Diceros bicornis minor: one gene and its partner. Each later gene encodes a partner of the first gene's protein in a complex. Links are inferred from orthologs where the notes say so. Each region holds a gene or a part of one and is shown on either strand. Other genes may lie near its edges.

Region 1 (7,579 bases):
GGCTGTCACTACTCTGGTATTCACTAATAATAATAGTTGAACTACAGCTGGAACTCTTGGATGAAGGCAAAGGACAGCTGTAGGGAATCTGGGAGGACTCTTTGCAGGAGCCTCGAGAAGCCACAGAGTAGACATGCAGGCCACAGGGCATAGCATCAGGTCGGCCTCGGGCTCGGGGGGCAATAGGTAAACTTTGGGGGTCAAAGGGTGTTCTCAAAGGGATACAAGAATAGATGTGGGTAGAACAAGGAGGTGCCACAGGCTGGCAATGGGGTTGGGGTGGGCCCCTGGGAGTGCTATAGGTGCCACAGGGGGGCACCATGGGTTGCTTATGACACTGAGGGGGGCGTGTGGATTGATTGAGGGAACCAGAGAGTGGGCAGGGATCGGGGGTGGAGGGAACCACAGAATATACATGGGTACTGCAGGGGGATCTTATGAGGGGTCCATGGGGGCTTCTCTGAGCATAACTATTGGGTGAGACAGAATCATAAGGAAGGCGGAGGGGAAGGGAAGTGGGGATAACAGTTTTGAGGACTCTAGGGACCACAGTAGGTAAGGTAGTCCCTTGGGGAAGTTCTTTAGGGCAAGAATTTGAGCAAGTTGTAACGGATGTCACTGTACAAAAAGCACCTGAGAGACCAGAAGGGCCGGAGGGAGGTGGAGGAGAGGTGCTGGCCTTAGGGGGCCTGGGCTGGTCAGGAGGAGTTTGCCGGGGAGGGGTGACCAGGGAGCGACTTCTGTGGGGAGCACGTGGCTGTCTTAACTCTGAGGATTTGGGGGACTTCACTTGGGGGCAAGCTGGGGTAGGCAGAGGAGGGTCGTTATAGCTTCTGCGGGGGGGTGACTGAGGTGGAGATATAAACTGGTTGCTCAGGGGTGAAGGAAAGAAGGCAGAATAAGGACAAGGCGAGGACAGGGGAAGAGGTGGTTCCTGGGGACAAGGGGGACCAGAAATCATAGCGACTGGGGTTACGAAGAGGTAAGAGCTCCCACCAGTCTCCCAGGAGAACAAGGACTCAAAGCAAGGCTTCCTGGAAGCCTGGGACTGGGGTAAGCAAGGAGAACCAGTACTCCCAGGGGGTAGGCGGATGGCACAACAAGGGCTCCCAGGGGCAGGTATGCAGGTCTCTGGGGGAAGATGGGAATAGTGATAAGGGCCCTCTGGAGGTGAGCTGGGACAGCCAGATGTGCCTGCCTGAGAAGAAAGTGGGGAGCCACAGTAATTTTTCCCACGGGGTGGGTCAAGCTGTGGTTTAGGTTCACAAGAGTCTGGAGGCTTATGGTGGCCATGGTAAAACCTGCCGGTGGGTGGGGAAGATGCTTGGGAAAGAGGAGGGTCATTATAACTTCTCCCTGAGGACCAGGGAGAGAGTGGAGGGGAGATCATGGGCCCAGTTTGCAAAACCCTGTGAGAAAGGGGTGGGGAAACTATAGGTCTAGTTTCCATGGGCCGGTGAGCAAGGGGAGGTGAAATCATGAGGCCAGTTCCCAAGGGCCTATGAGTAAGAGGAGGTGAAATCATGGGGCAAGTTCCCTGGGATCCATGAGTGATGGAAGAGGAAATCACGGGACCAGTTCTAGGGGGCTCATGAGTGAAAACAGGTGAAATTATGGGACCAGTTTCCAAGGTGACATGAGTGACCGGACGGGAGGTCCCGGGGCTGGTTCCTGGGTGCTGATGAGTGACAGGAGGTGAAATCATGGGGCCAGTTTCCAACGGCACATGAGTGACAGGAGGAGAAGTCACCGGGGTGGTTCCCAGGGGCCGATGAGTAAGGGGAGGGGAGGTCACCGGGCTGGTTACCAGGGCTGAAGGGTATCCACCACAGTAACAGAGGTAAGTGTGCTGGTCGATGTAAGGGCTTCGGGGACAGGGACACGGTGTTCTCGGGGAGCTGATCCAGCCGCAATAAGGGCTCCGGGGACGGAGAGGGGGTGACCCCAGAAGGCTGAACCGGTCAAAACAAGGGCTCGGGGGGGACGAACCCGAGAGGATAGTCTCAGGGCAGTAAGGCCTTCCGAGGAGTGGAGAACAAGGTTCAAAAGAACATGTCCCCAGACGCAGGGGCGGCGGTGGGGGTGGGGAGGGGGGCGGTGGGGGCGGGGAGGGAATCGGTCGGGGTAGAGAGGGGGGCGGGCCGGTTACGGAAGAAATTCCAGGGCTACAGGTGAGGCCAGAGAAAGGGTGTCTGGAGCAGCGGGGAGAGCCCAGGGGGTGAGGGGAGTCGCTGCACCTTTTGCCTGAGTTTGGGGAAAGGCCGGGACTACCGGCAGGGTGGTCACTGTAACCTTTCCTGGGCGCCAGAGGCAGCTCGAGGGTGAGGGAGTTGACTCCTTTCCTGGAGGGCGAAGGAGACCCAGGGAGGACCGGGAAGTCGCTGTGACATTTTCCGAGGGGTGAGGGCGGCCGGGCTCGAAGTTCTCGGAGGAAGGGAGGAGAGGAGGTCATAGGGGGCGGAGGAGAAGAGGTCAGGGTAGGAAAGAAGGGGAGGGAGGGGGAGGGGGAGGGGGAGGGAGGGAAGGGGAAGAGGTAGTGGGAGCCAAGCGGAACGGAACCGCGAGCAGGGGAACAAGAGGCGGTGACATAACTGAAAGAATGACGGCGGAGGCGATGACGTAACAGAGGGGCGGAGTCAGGAGGCTGCACACTTATCAAGAGGGAGAGCCGAAGACTCGTGACGAAATAAAAGGGCGGACAGAGGCGACGACGTAACAGATGTGAGGGAGGAGCCTAGTGACGCTCCCTGAGGGGCGGGACAAGAGGTCGAAGGCGTTCCAACCGGAGAGAGGAGCGACCCTAACTGAGCCGGGCGAGCAGTGGAAGGGCTGGGGAGGTTTCCCGAGAGGCGGTGGCAAGGGGCCGCTGTCACTGTTCCCTCCTGGGCCTTACCCATTTCTTCTTATGTCGATGTCTCCGCGGGACCGTCGCGAAGTCGGCCCGCTTCAGCACGTCCCGAACACCTCTCACTACCAGCGCAGCCATGTCTGCGTGCGTTGCCGGGTAATTCCGACCGGAACCGCAACCGGAGGCTCGCGGGTTCCGGAGAGGTGGTGCGCGCCGCTCTGGACGTAAAGGGGAGGGAATTACCGCTGACTCTCTCCCGGGGCTCCGCCCATCTTTACATTCCGGGTGCAAACCTCGCCCCGCCAGCGATCTTTGAGAGCGCTGGGAAAGAGCAACCATTCGCACAGAATGGTGGCTCCGCCTGGATGTTTGGAGCATTGAGAGAGACTCCGTAAAGGTCCCTGACCCAGTTGGGGGGGTCAGAGAGGACTGGGAACTGGCACTTGAATACTGAAAGAGTTAACTAGGCAAAAAGGGGTGGTAAGGGCCTTCTAGGCAGAAGTTGCACGAAGAAAAGATCCTAAGAGGAAAAAAACAGGCTAGACTTGTAGGCAGAGGCGGATTTATAGTGAAGCTAATGAAGCTTAAGTTTCAGGACCTGTCATTGGCACTGCCCCCTTCAAGGGCCTGTACCTAATTTTGTATTGTTTTTCTTAAAGAAGGCCTCCCGAATTTGAGTAAGCTTTAGGCCCCACAAAACTTGAATCCACCAAGGAGCCGGTGGAGAGGAGGAACATGATCAGATAAGTGTTTTTAAAAATGAACATCTGACAGCAGATGATCAGAGTAGTTAGGGGTAAGGCAGGCAGGGAGGTCAGATGAGAGAAGATGATGTTCTGGATTAGTGTGGTGGCAGTAAGATGGAGAGAAGAGGATGGATTCCACTTACAGTTAAGAGAGAATTACACGAGCCGGCCCCGTGGCTTAGCCAATTAAGTGTCCACGCTCTGCTACTGGCGGCCCAGGTTCGGAACCCCTGGCGCACACCCGATGCACTGCTTCTCAGGCCATGCTGAGGTGGTGTTCCACATACAGCAACTAGAAGGATGTGCAGTTATGACATACAACTATCTACTGGGGCTTTGGGGAGAAAAAGGGGGAAAAAGAAAAAGGAGGGGGATTGGCAATAGATGTTAGGTCGGGGCCAGTGGTCTTCAGCTAAAAAAAAGAGGAGAATTGGCATGGATGTTAGCTAAGGGCTGATCTTCCTCACAAAATAATAATAATAATAATTTTTAAAAAAAGCAGGAGGAGAAAAGAAAAAAAGAATTACAGGATTGATTGACTGGGCCCTACACCACCATTAACAGCTGTCCTCTTACCCCACATTTATTCTTATAAATTATTACCACCTGATATGTATTTATTTTCTTATAGTCTGCTAAATTGTAATTTTCAAAAGGTTAAAAACATAACTCTTATACAAATATATAATGAACACATGCCAAAGACTTTATTCATCATAATAAACTACTCACCCATTATCCTAGATAATGAGGGACCCAGTAAATGGTAAGACTTGTTCAATGAGAATTTGAGTTTTAGAGATTTAGATTATCAGCCAAAGGAATGCTAAAATAAATTTGCTAATAGTTGCAAAAACATTAATATTTTATTAAGTAATAAACTGTGATGTTTGGGATTATCTCTTCTACCAGATGAAAATCAATTCCATCTTTGCTGGACAAAATTCATTTGCGTTACTATGCGTAGGAGTTGTTTGCGTTGCTCTCAGACGAGAATTATTTGCATTGCCCTCAGTTTTCTACAAGTTAACCTCTACCCCTACAAAGTTGTAAGATAGCCTAATCAACATCAAGTCAATCAAATGTAAACCCCAGCACTACAATGAAAGAGCACCCAGTAATCCTCTTCTGCCCATTTATAAGTTCCGGACAATTTTTCTGGACATGTCTACCCTCACAAGAATGTAAGATTTAAAAGAGCAAGGATTTTGTTTAATTCATTGCTGAATTATCAGCACCTAGAACAGTATATGGTACATAGTTGGCTCTCAATAAATATTTATTGAATGAGTGAGTGAAAGATGAAAAAGTAGAGATGTGAGTGTAAACAATTTTTTCAAGAAGTTTGTTACAGGGACCTAGCAGTTGTAAGGTAACAAGGAGATATATGTATAGAGAAAGGCCTTTTTATAAAGCTCGTAGACATTTAAATGCAGATAAGAATTGTCAACCTTAAAAATAAAAGTCAGTTATTTTTCCAGCAAAACGAGTTTATTCAGGAATAGCTAAAAAATTGCAATTGGGAATATGCATGCTATGGGAGACCATAAGCAAATCCAATAATCAAAGGAGAGGAACGTTATTTTATAGGGAAAAAGGAAATTGGGAGGAGTTGTTTTGAAGGAAAATCCATTGGAGAAAAGCAAGAGTTCAGAGTGGTGATGGTTTCTCATTGGCTGAGTTCCTGGGGTAGTTGATTTCTCTTTGGGATGCGATGTACATTTTTTTCCTGTAATTAATGATTCTTTCCTGTTGATGACTTCTGCTGGGGTCTATGATTGACTATCTTTCCCGTAACTGACCTCAAGTGGTACTGCATGGGAGCTCCCCCTTCTGGCCTCCCAACTCCATTTTAAATGAGGTTTCCCTTTATTTAATTTTCACATTTTCCCATTTTGATCAAGATCTTCTTCCACAAGCATTGCTAATCAAGAGTCAGGTTCTCTGCACATAGTGGTTTTGTCCCTCGGTGCCAGGAAGGACCTTTCCTGGTAGTCATGTCCCACGGTGCAGGGAACGTGCACAGTGGTTGGAAACCATTTAGGCCACATTTGAGCAACAAGGAAGGCCAGGAGGGAGAACTCTCAAGCATCTCTTATTCAAAGTCTATAGTTGTCTGAGGTTGTAAGCCTCAGAAACCGTTTCAAATTGTTGAGCTAACATCAACTTATTAGGTACATCATGTTTACAGAGGTTCGACAGGCAATACGTACAGCATTTAGCAACAAGTACACAAAGCAGGATTAAGAACAATACAACAGGGGCCGGCCCCGTGGCTTAGCGGTTAAGTGCGCGCCCTCCGCTACTGGCAGCCTGGGTTCGGATCCTGGGCGCGCACCGACGCACCACTTGTCCGGCCATGCTGAGGCCACGTCCCACATACAGCAACTAGAAGGATGTGCAACTATGACATACAACTATCTACTGGGGCTTTGGGGAGACAAAGGGAAAAAAAGGAGGAGGATTGGCAATAGATGTTAGCTCAGGGCTGGTCTTCCTCAAAAAAAAAAAAAAAAAAAGAACAATACAACAAGCCCAGTTTGTAACGGGCTGAATAAAATCAAAAGACAGTGGGTTATTGGGTGAAATTTGTTGTAGCCAATGTGCTTGCTCTCTAATTCTATGTAATTGGCTCTCTATTTCCCCAGAGTTATTTATCCATGTGCAACAGGAGGTGTTTGTTACTGCACAGACACCTCCCTGCTCAGCAAGTAGGTATCTCAAACTCCCTGGCCAATGAGTTAAGCAACTATTGTTGGGTTGCAACTGCTTTGGCTGTGGAACCAGCCAACTCTTCTAGTGTTAGGGAGAGAATCCTGATCATTTGTGCAGTAGCACTTATTCTGACCCACAGAAAGAAAGCTCTCCCCACAGAGGCAAACCCAGAATCATGCACACTTCCTGGAAGTTCTTATTTGAGGTAATTATAGGAATTTAGTGGAACTGACCAATGAGAGGCTTCTGATTGGTTATGCAGGGAGAACAGGGTGGTGAATATGGCAAGGGCACACTGATCTCCTACTCTCCAGCTGTTAAGGCAATGAGATGCCCAAGCATAAAGGCTATTGTCAGAGCCTTCACATATGAAAATGTAACCAGGGGTTGTACATAAGGCTTCTGCAGAAGCAACAGTATCTATGGACTTATTCACTGGCGTAGAGTCATTACCACCATTTAACCTAGGCTTAGACATTGTGTTTTTACATATTAAGAAGTTGCCTAAATATATGGGTGTAACAAGTGTACAAATGATCTGGTTTACAATTGCTATCCTACAGAATTTATCATACAAATATTCATAAGATCTTGCCTTTCCCTCCCAAGGCTGGGTTAAATTAAAGCAAGGAATGAGGGGCCTGCCCTGTGGCTTAGCGGTTAAGTGCGCGCGCTCCGCTGCTGGCGGCCCGGGTTCGGATCCCGGGCGCGCACCGACGCACCACTTCTCCGGCCATGCTGAGGCCGCGTCCCACATACAGCAACTAGAAGGATGTGCAACTATGACATACAACTATCTACTGGGGCTTTGGGGGAAAAAATAAATTAAAAAAAAAATTTAAAAAAAAGAAAAAAAAGCAAGGAATGAAATTAGGCAGGCTTAGTACCCCGACTTTATAAAATGGGCCTGCAGAACAATTTAAACATACAATGGCATCTGGAATTCCAGTGAAACTACCTATAGGGTGAACTAAGGGGTCATTATTGTCCTGAACAGATCGAAGTTTCAGATGGCAAATCCAGCAATCAGAGGTCTCCCCCTTTGGCAAGGGATTGGGAAATGTAGACAAGGGCATTGTCATTCTACGAAAGAGAGGGAGAAATTAAGTAAGACAATGGTGGGAAGAGGGTATACAGGCCTGGTCCAGTCATCTTGGGAAAGCTGTCTGCCTCAGATGTCAGCTGCTTCTCTTCCCAGTCAGTTTGATTTGGAGGTCTCCAGCATTTGTACAGGACTAGATGTCAGGTGGAGCCGCCTTTAGCTGTGAGA
Region 2 (7,684 bases), on another chromosome or scaffold:
CTGGACAAAATTTAGTAACTGGAAACTTAAAATTACTTAAACTATTAATATAAATCTTCCTAACAGCTGAGTTAGTCACTGTCTTGCTAAATATGTCAGGAATGAATTTCAGGAGTTTAGACTACATCTCTGCCTCTTAAGGCTGTGCTGAGCTTGCTAATTAATAATCATGCACATAAGTATTAAGTTTAGCCTCTCAGATTATACTGCAACAGGGAACCTGTTAAGAGAAACACCCAAGGCTATCTTTTTGCTTATCTGCTGGAGAAGGCGGCCTATAGATCCTCTGAAATAGTGGATCCACAAACCTTTTCTTCTCCCCAACAATCTTACCAGTAAGAGTCAAGAATGAAAAAAATAATAATAAAACTCCTCGGGTCAAAGTGGGTACCAGTTCTTGGAGAACCACATGGGCCCCCAGCCCCTATTCCAGAAAGCCCTTAAAGAGATCCAACGAACTTCCAGGATCCTTGAGGTACGAATCCCACTGGAGGTGAGGGTGGTGGCTGGAGGGAACAGCCACACCACCAGTTTCCCAGGAACCTGGGAAGAGCTCATGTTCCACAGTAAATCAAGGCAAGCTACCTGGAATCCAAGCCTTTACCAGGAACTTTGTAATATACACGTATATCAACATCACATATTGACATCTATCTGTTGAGCACACACTAGGTGCCCACCACTGTTCTACATGCTAGAGCCCCCACAGTGAACACACTAGACAGGAGTCCCTTCCAATTCTCTCTTCTAGTCCCAACCCTCCCCTCTTCCCTCCTGCAATGCCCTCTGCAGAGGTCACTCCTCTTCCTCACCTCCAAGCCAAATCACGCATTCCTCTCAAGGCCTTTTCTCCAGAAACTTTCCCGAATCCATCTCACCTATACTATTCGTTCCCCAACTCTGACTCCTCTCAGCACTATGTATAAAACCTGCGCCTTTTTGTACCTTCTTCAAGCCCAAGCTTTCGCAGGTAACTGGAGCGCTTCTTCATGTGCATTACAGGCACTTTCAATAATTGAGGACTTTTCTTCAAGGCCACATACACAGGCTCTGGATTCAAACCCAAGAGTATTAATTCTGAAATAATGTCCAACAACTGTTGAGGGTGGGTACCTGGTTGTATACTGAGCAATTCATTAATATGGACATCACTGAAACCCATGTCCAGGAGGGAACTGATGACCTTCTCTCGCTCCAAGGACCCTTGATCCACAGGAGTCCTCTGCTTCTCAAGGAGGCAGTGAGTAAGATTTGTCCTGTACTCTGGTTCCTGCACATACTTTTCGGGTTCAAAACAGGATAAGTCCTCAAGGCCCCCTCCACTGGAGGCTGTGGTCAGTTTACGCAACAAAGCAGCAGTCGTCGTTTTCTGTTCTCCAACATGAGGAGTCTGCCTAGCAACACGGGCCCAGATGAGGGGGATCAGGCAGTGCCGGTCAAAGACCTATAAGACACAGGACCAAAAGGGAATCATTTCCTCACCACCCCAATGTAATAGACACCACAGGATTTTTGAACCAGGGTATTTAGTGCCTTGGTCCCACACAAACGTAACAGTTTTTATAAGCAATCTGCAAAATCTTATCTGAACTTAGCCTACAGAGAAGGAAGTTCACATATAGAGAAAAGAGTGTTGCAAGAACATAGAGGTCAGAGAGTCAAACAAGTCTCCATGAGCTTTTGCTGCTATAATTGAGGGGACAGAGGTAGGCAGGGACAAGGCAGAACTAGTTTAAGGCCACCTGGTAAAATCTGCCTACCTGAGGAGACAACATTTTCCTCTACCCTCTAAGGGTGAGTGCCTGGGGGGCCTGCAAATTTAACTGACAATACACGGATTAACATGAGGGGAAAAAACAAAGTTTATTCATATACATATGTCAGCTCACAAAAGAGGTAGCTCCTTAAATCACTAAAGTTAGGGGCTAATTTAATAGGGGAGACAGAGGGGTAGAAAAAGCTTCTACGGGAAGAACAAATGGGTTTCTAAAGAAAAAAAGAGAGATAACGTCTGTGATAATGTTTGCTTGTGCAGGTCCGAGCAGTCTTTTTTCTTTAAGGCTACAAAACTCCCCAGGAGAGGGGTCCATGGCAGCCTCATTCCCAGAAATTTCTGTTTTTAGGGAGGTAAGGGAAGCTCCGAGAAAGCTTCTTTCTCTATCTGCTGAATCTCAACCATCTTTAGTTTAAAATAATCCTCACGCCAACTCTGGGGGTCCGGGTTGGTATCCACACCTGAAACATCTGGACCTCATACTAGTCTCCAGATTCACGTACCTAAATTTATTCCACAAGAAGAATCCTATTGGATATAATTAGCCTGTCAGCCAACTTGTATAGAGAATTCCCGTTTACGTCAAAACTCTTCAGCCGTTCAGGCAAGCGCGTAACCAAACAAGCACAGATCACCCAGACACTCACTCGCTTCCCACCCCGTCCCAAAGCCCCTCCAGCGTTAGGTACCGTCGCACCCCCGTCCGTCAGTCAAGCCCACGCGCTCGCTGCTCCCCAGCTTCCCCCGCTCGCCCTGTGGGTGGTCCCGCTGCTCCGTCCGCCGGATTCACCCCCAGGTCCGGCCCAGCGCGGGGCGCGGGAAGCTGCGCTCACGGCGCACTGATGGAGCAGAGAGCGCCGCGGGTCCAGGGCGGCCCCAGGCCGGCGTGCCCCGGCCTCACGGGAAGGCTCCGGCTGCGAGGTGCCACGGCCTGCTGTCACACACCCCGACGGCTGCCGCTCGTCCACGTCCCCGGGGACCCCCGGTACCTGGCGCGACCTCACCTGCCGGACGACCGCCGCCATAGCCCACAGACGGTGGTAAAGACCCCGACGCCAGAAGCTGAGCCCTCCCCGGTCCGGCACTTCCGCCCTCCCCGGTCCGGCACTTCCGCCCTCCCCCTCGCAAGCGCGAGAGCGCGGGAAGCGCGTTCCGCCGCTGCCCGCGCAGAGCGTGTCCAGCGTTGGGGCCTCGCGCCGCCCGAGGCCACGGGTTCTCTGCCTCGTGCCGACGTTGCCCGGCTTTCCCACTTTCCAGAGCTCTCGGCTAGCATAGCCAAGGAAAAGCTCCAACGCCATACTTCTGCTTCCCACTATATTAAAATTCCTCTGAAGAGCAGAAGTGAAATGAAGCCGTAACCTTGGTTCAGACCCGCCGTTTCCTGTGGCGCCAACAATGACTTCCCCCGAGAAAGCAGGAGCCCTCCTGAAGCAGGTGCGTGTTGGGTTGGAGACAAGGCCGTCTGAGTGAAAATGGAGTGGGTCCCAGATCAAGTTATTCCAGACTTCGTGTAAACCCGTCTCCAACGTGAATACTGAGGACACACACACGCACAGACAGGCATATAGAAGATGACAGGAACGACGGCCCTGCAGACTCAGAGGTCTGGTTTCCTGCTGGGATGGAATCCACTAATGTTTCAGCCTGATTTGTATTCATTCTTAAATTTCAAATCGAGACCTGTAATAGTTCTAGTATAGAGCCTAGGCATCTTTTAAAAGGGGATAGTGTGAAAAAGAATAAAAAGGTGTGCTTTTTTAGCTGCCTAAATTCTGCCACTTGTAAGCCCAAAACCTTAATTTATAAGCATTTCTACTTGTTTTATCTGCTTGTTTCTGAACTGAGAAAAAGGGCTTGATTCTTGCAAGGTTACAATTTACAGAGTACCTGCTCTGTGGGAGGCACTGGGCTGGGTGCTAAAACATATCTTTTTTACAAAAGGTTTATATCAAAGAAAAGGAAGATTGAATCTGTGTGGAACCTGTGGGAGATCAAAATTGGCCACCTCAAAATATGTCTCTTTACCTTGATTATTTTCTCTGAAAGAAACTTTGACCTTCCCCCAAACTTACACCTAAAAGTGATAGACTGGGAGGGTTCTTCCTAAGCCCATTCTTATCAAAGTTCTGTTTACCAAACATTTACACTTGTAAAGGTAACTCCCTCTCTGTACCAGGAAGAAGGGGGGATGACTTTATCTCTAGAAACTCTTAAATCTGCATACTCTTGTTACTGTGCTTTCTGGTCATCTCCCATAGCTGTCTCCCTTCCCACACCCAACATCCTCCTTTGTCTGTCTGAATATGCTATTTAAGTTTCCCTGGTTTCTCCCATGTATACATGTTATAAAGCTTTGTTTGATTTTCTCCTGCTGTTCAGTCTCATGAGTCAATTTACTTCATACCCCAGCCAGAAAGGACCCAGCATGGGTAGAGGATAGCCTTCCTCCCCTTCAAACCAAAGAATTGGTTGTTTTTGTTTGTTAATCTAATTTTCTTCTTAAAACACTCAACTGTCAGCACCTCAAAATAAATTATGTTAATGCTTTTACACTCAAAGCCTAAGAAAATCCTGCGTGCCACCCCCATGCCCTGGAAGGAATCAGGAAACCAACAGGTTATCTAGCTCTAGAAATAACACGGCGGCTGGAAGGCAGGGATTACTCTAAAAAGCCGACAGCATCTTCACTCCTCTATGAAAACTCTGCTCTCTAGAATCACGCTTGGAACACGGGGAGAAAATTTGTCAGCCTCGGCCTCAGCATGTTTCCATCGGGGCTCTTTCTGGGAAGAACACTCCAAGTATCAGACCTTCTACTACCATCAGGTCAGATGAGTTTTAATTATTTTGTCTTATGAAGAAGTAACAGTTGTTGGAGAGCTAGGACTTTGCATTCTCAGCCCATTGCGCACCTGTCTAAAAAAAAACATTATGCAATTTCTTATGTATTATAAGCATCATAAACACTACAAGGAAAAATGTTTAGGTTTTTTTCACTCTTGAAAACAGAGTTCTTAGAACATCAGGAAACTTATTTGAATTATGAAGAATAAACATCACTAACTTTTTACTCCACGCTTTAAAGCTATACTTCTAAAAACCCTGTCTTTCCTGTGCCTGATGGAGGAGGGTCCCCCATCAGTCTCTTGTGATGACTGGGAGACTCGGGCTTCACTTTCTAAAGGGCAGGATGGCAATATCCCATATCCCAGTAGATGAGAATAAAATGAACCGTTATCTGAACATCCTAAAATATTAAGACAGTTGAGTGCTTCCTAAATGAACACTAGAAACAGCACTGGACCATAGTGGAGGCAGGCTGGCCCCTGAGCATCTTCCAGAGGGCTCTGGGCAGGAGGAGACTTGGAACATGCAGAAAGTGATGATGTGGAAAAAAAGCAGTGAGGGGAGTCTTGGTTTCTGTTTTTGTTTCCTTCCTGCTGTCTCAGCAGGGGAAAAAAAATGAAAGGTTTCTCTCTTGCACTTAACCACTCCCTCCCCTCAAACATAGCAAAATAGAGGCTGGATTTCATGTGCTTCAGCTGGCTGATTCTGTTTGACAGGGGAGGAGGCATGTGAGTGTGTGAGAGACGCACTGGGACCTGAGCAAGAGTGGGAAAAGGACAGTGACAGTCAGGGCTGGACGCCCCCCACACAATACCAGAGGTGGGGCCCGGGGCTGGACGCCCCCCACACAGTACCAGAGGTGGGGCCTGGGCTGGCTGCAGGATGTCTGGCGGGTGCTGGGAGCGTGTCATGGGTGGACAGCAGAGTCCCACTGCAGAGCCCACTGCACAGCAGAGCCCAGACAGATGGTGGGCTGGCCCTGGCGAGCTGTGCACAGGGAGAAAGGAAGTGCCTGAGAACACCACAACCTCCCAGTCTCCTTAGACTAAGCAAGCAGCAGAGCCCCAGGCGCCCCCTGTGGGTGGGACCCCCAAACAGACCGAGGTTGATCCTCTCTCCAGCTGTGGCAAGTGGGGCACACAAATGGAAGTGCCTCCCACACCGGCACTGTGGGATAATTCATACCATCCAAGGCAGGGGAACTGTTTACAAAATTGCTTTAATTTGGCATATGTTGACGGAAATAAATTAATGAAAGAGTCTAGTCATTTGGCGAACCAGCTCTACCAATTCCACACCCCAGATGAGCATATACCCAGTCAGAGGAAACAGAAATACATGCATGTATACAAAAGTGGAAAGAGAACCAAAAACCTTTTTTATGCCTTTCAGAAGGTCACAAATTGAAAGCCCTTTAATAGGACAAAACTCAAGTGAACACTAGAATGTTTTTTCAAGGTCATGAAAAAAATGAATTCCAAGTCTATTTTATAAACCTAAAATAATATCATTTCACTGGCTTTTGTTCTAGCATTTATCAAACTTGCATATGAGTTTTTAGAAGGTGAATTCAGCCTAATTCTTAAGAAGTTACTGTCTCTGAATGGAAGGGGCCTGAAAACAATACAATTTCCTAACTGAGTGCAGAAGAGCAACAGGAAGCTGGTGTTCAGCCTCATCAGGGGCCTCCCCGGGGGCACAAGGCTCTGTGCAGCTCCAGGGCCCAAGCCACTTCATTGGGGCTCCTACTCTCCGTCTCCAGGCTCACAGTGGACAGAACTCCGCTTTCTGAAGAAAGAAGTCACTGTATCACATGCTAAGAACACAAGATTCTAAAATACTTTGCTTCTCTCTGGAAGAATTCCTAGGAGCAAACAACACCAGAGGGACCCTCCAGAACCCAACTGGCAATGCTCTAGAGTTCCTGGACCCTACTGAGGTGTGGCAGGGATTCTGCGCCCAGAGCCATCAACACCAGTTCCGTCCGCTTGCTCCGAGCAGCGGTGACCAGACTCACTGTGCTGCTGCCACCAGGCTGTGCAGCCAGGAGCCTTGTCTGAAGAGCCAGGGTCCCCCTGGGTCCCCCTAGAGCATCAAACTCACCACCTGTGGCCTTATCCTCCCCTTCAGCTTGCTCAGACCATCTTGAGCTGTGCTTCTCAAACCCTCGGCCCCCAGCCCCTGACCCGTCTGTGGGTGCCTCCTTGTCAGGGGCTCGCATGGGCACTCACTCACCTTCTAAGGCCCACAGCCAAGCTCTGAACCCCAGTGTTGTTCAGGGGCCTCTGGAACAGAATCAACGCCTGTTTGTTTTACAGGTGATGCCCTGACATTTGTGTCTAGGACAGCATGGGAGCTGGAACCCCTCCTCCTCCACAGACCTAGGAAAGCACCCTGGGGAACCTCCTCACCCTCCATAGTGCACAGGCCACACCTCTCACCTGGTTTGTTTACTCGATACACCTCATCCCAGGTGTAGTTAGCAAGGTTCACGGGCTGCGTCACCCAGGGGTCTGCCACCAGCTTCTCCAAGGTGGTGCGCTGCTCGGGGACAGGCTGCAGCAGCCCAGACACGAGGTTCATGAGATCTGGGGACATAAAGACCCACGCTAGGCGTGCAGCCAGTCTCAAAACTGCGAGGCCTGGGTCCGCCTGCCATGAACGCCTCTGACTGGGCAGGAGGGGGCTGTGGAGCCCCCATTTTTAACTAGCACCCCAGGGGTCCTGGTGCACAGGGCCCCCAGCTGCACTTTGAGAAGGGCTGCAGGAGATGTTTGTCGCCTCTGAAATGAAAGCTTAGAGTTCAAGATCCCGCCTCGCTCACTTAACCAAGGTGCAGAGGTTCCTAACCTCGCCTGTTTCCGGGGGCTCTGGCTTTGCAGAGCTGTGAATGACACAGGTTCACATAAGAGGAGAGGGGAGGGAGGCGGCAGCAGCAGAGTCCCAGATAAGTCCCCACAGGAAGGAGGCATGAGCTCTGAGAAGAGCCCTCAGACTTGAGTCTGGACTTGGCTCCCCTTTCTCCTAACAACATGGGTGTCATCTCAACAGAGCCGCCCTGAG

What was found. Proteins that work in one complex are often made in the same cells at the same time.
Region 2: the proteins of NSUN4 (region 1) and MTERF4 are in contact, whole or in part, in a crystal structure (PDB 4FP9), measured with the Homo sapiens proteins. The link is inferred for Diceros bicornis minor from reciprocal best matches to the Homo sapiens genes NSUN4 and MTERF4. Residues at the interface, in NP_950245.2 of Homo sapiens: Pro61, Ser62, Arg64, Val65, Leu68, Ser69, Glu70, Arg136, Gly137, Asp138, Ile139, Arg141, Asn367, Leu368, Met369; in NP_872307.2 of Homo sapiens: Tyr267, Glu269, Arg270, Leu271, Gly272, Arg273, Glu311, Glu312, Val315, Phe316, Lys318, Leu319, Arg322, Glu323, Glu326.

What each region holds. Positions count from the first base shown.
Region 1 is NC_080752.1:9,208,060-9,215,638, reverse strand, and holds the start of NSUN4 (5-methylcytosine rRNA methyltransferase NSUN4), read right to left. Parts: upstream 3,029-7,579; 5' UTR 2,987-3,028; coding exon 2,894-2,986; intron 1-2,893. UniProt on the Homo sapiens protein: Mitochondrial RNA cytosine C(5)-methyltransferase that methylates cytosine to 5-methylcytosine (m5C) in various RNAs, such as rRNAs, mRNAs and some long non-coding RNAs (lncRNAs).
Region 2 is NC_080776.1:27,970,498-27,978,181, forward strand, and holds the start of MTERF4 (transcription termination factor 4, mitochondrial), read right to left. Parts: upstream 3,088-7,684; 5' UTR 3,073-3,087; coding exon 2,764-3,072; intron 1,445-2,763; coding exon 946-1,444; intron 1-945. Other genes in the region: PASK (PAS domain-containing serine/threonine-protein kinase), read right to left, coding at 6,300-6,409, 7,063-7,209. UniProt on the Homo sapiens protein: Regulator of mitochondrial ribosome biogenesis and translation. Binds to mitochondrial ribosomal RNAs 16S, 12S and 7S and targets NSUN4 RNA methyltransferase to the mitochondrial large ribosomal subunit (39S).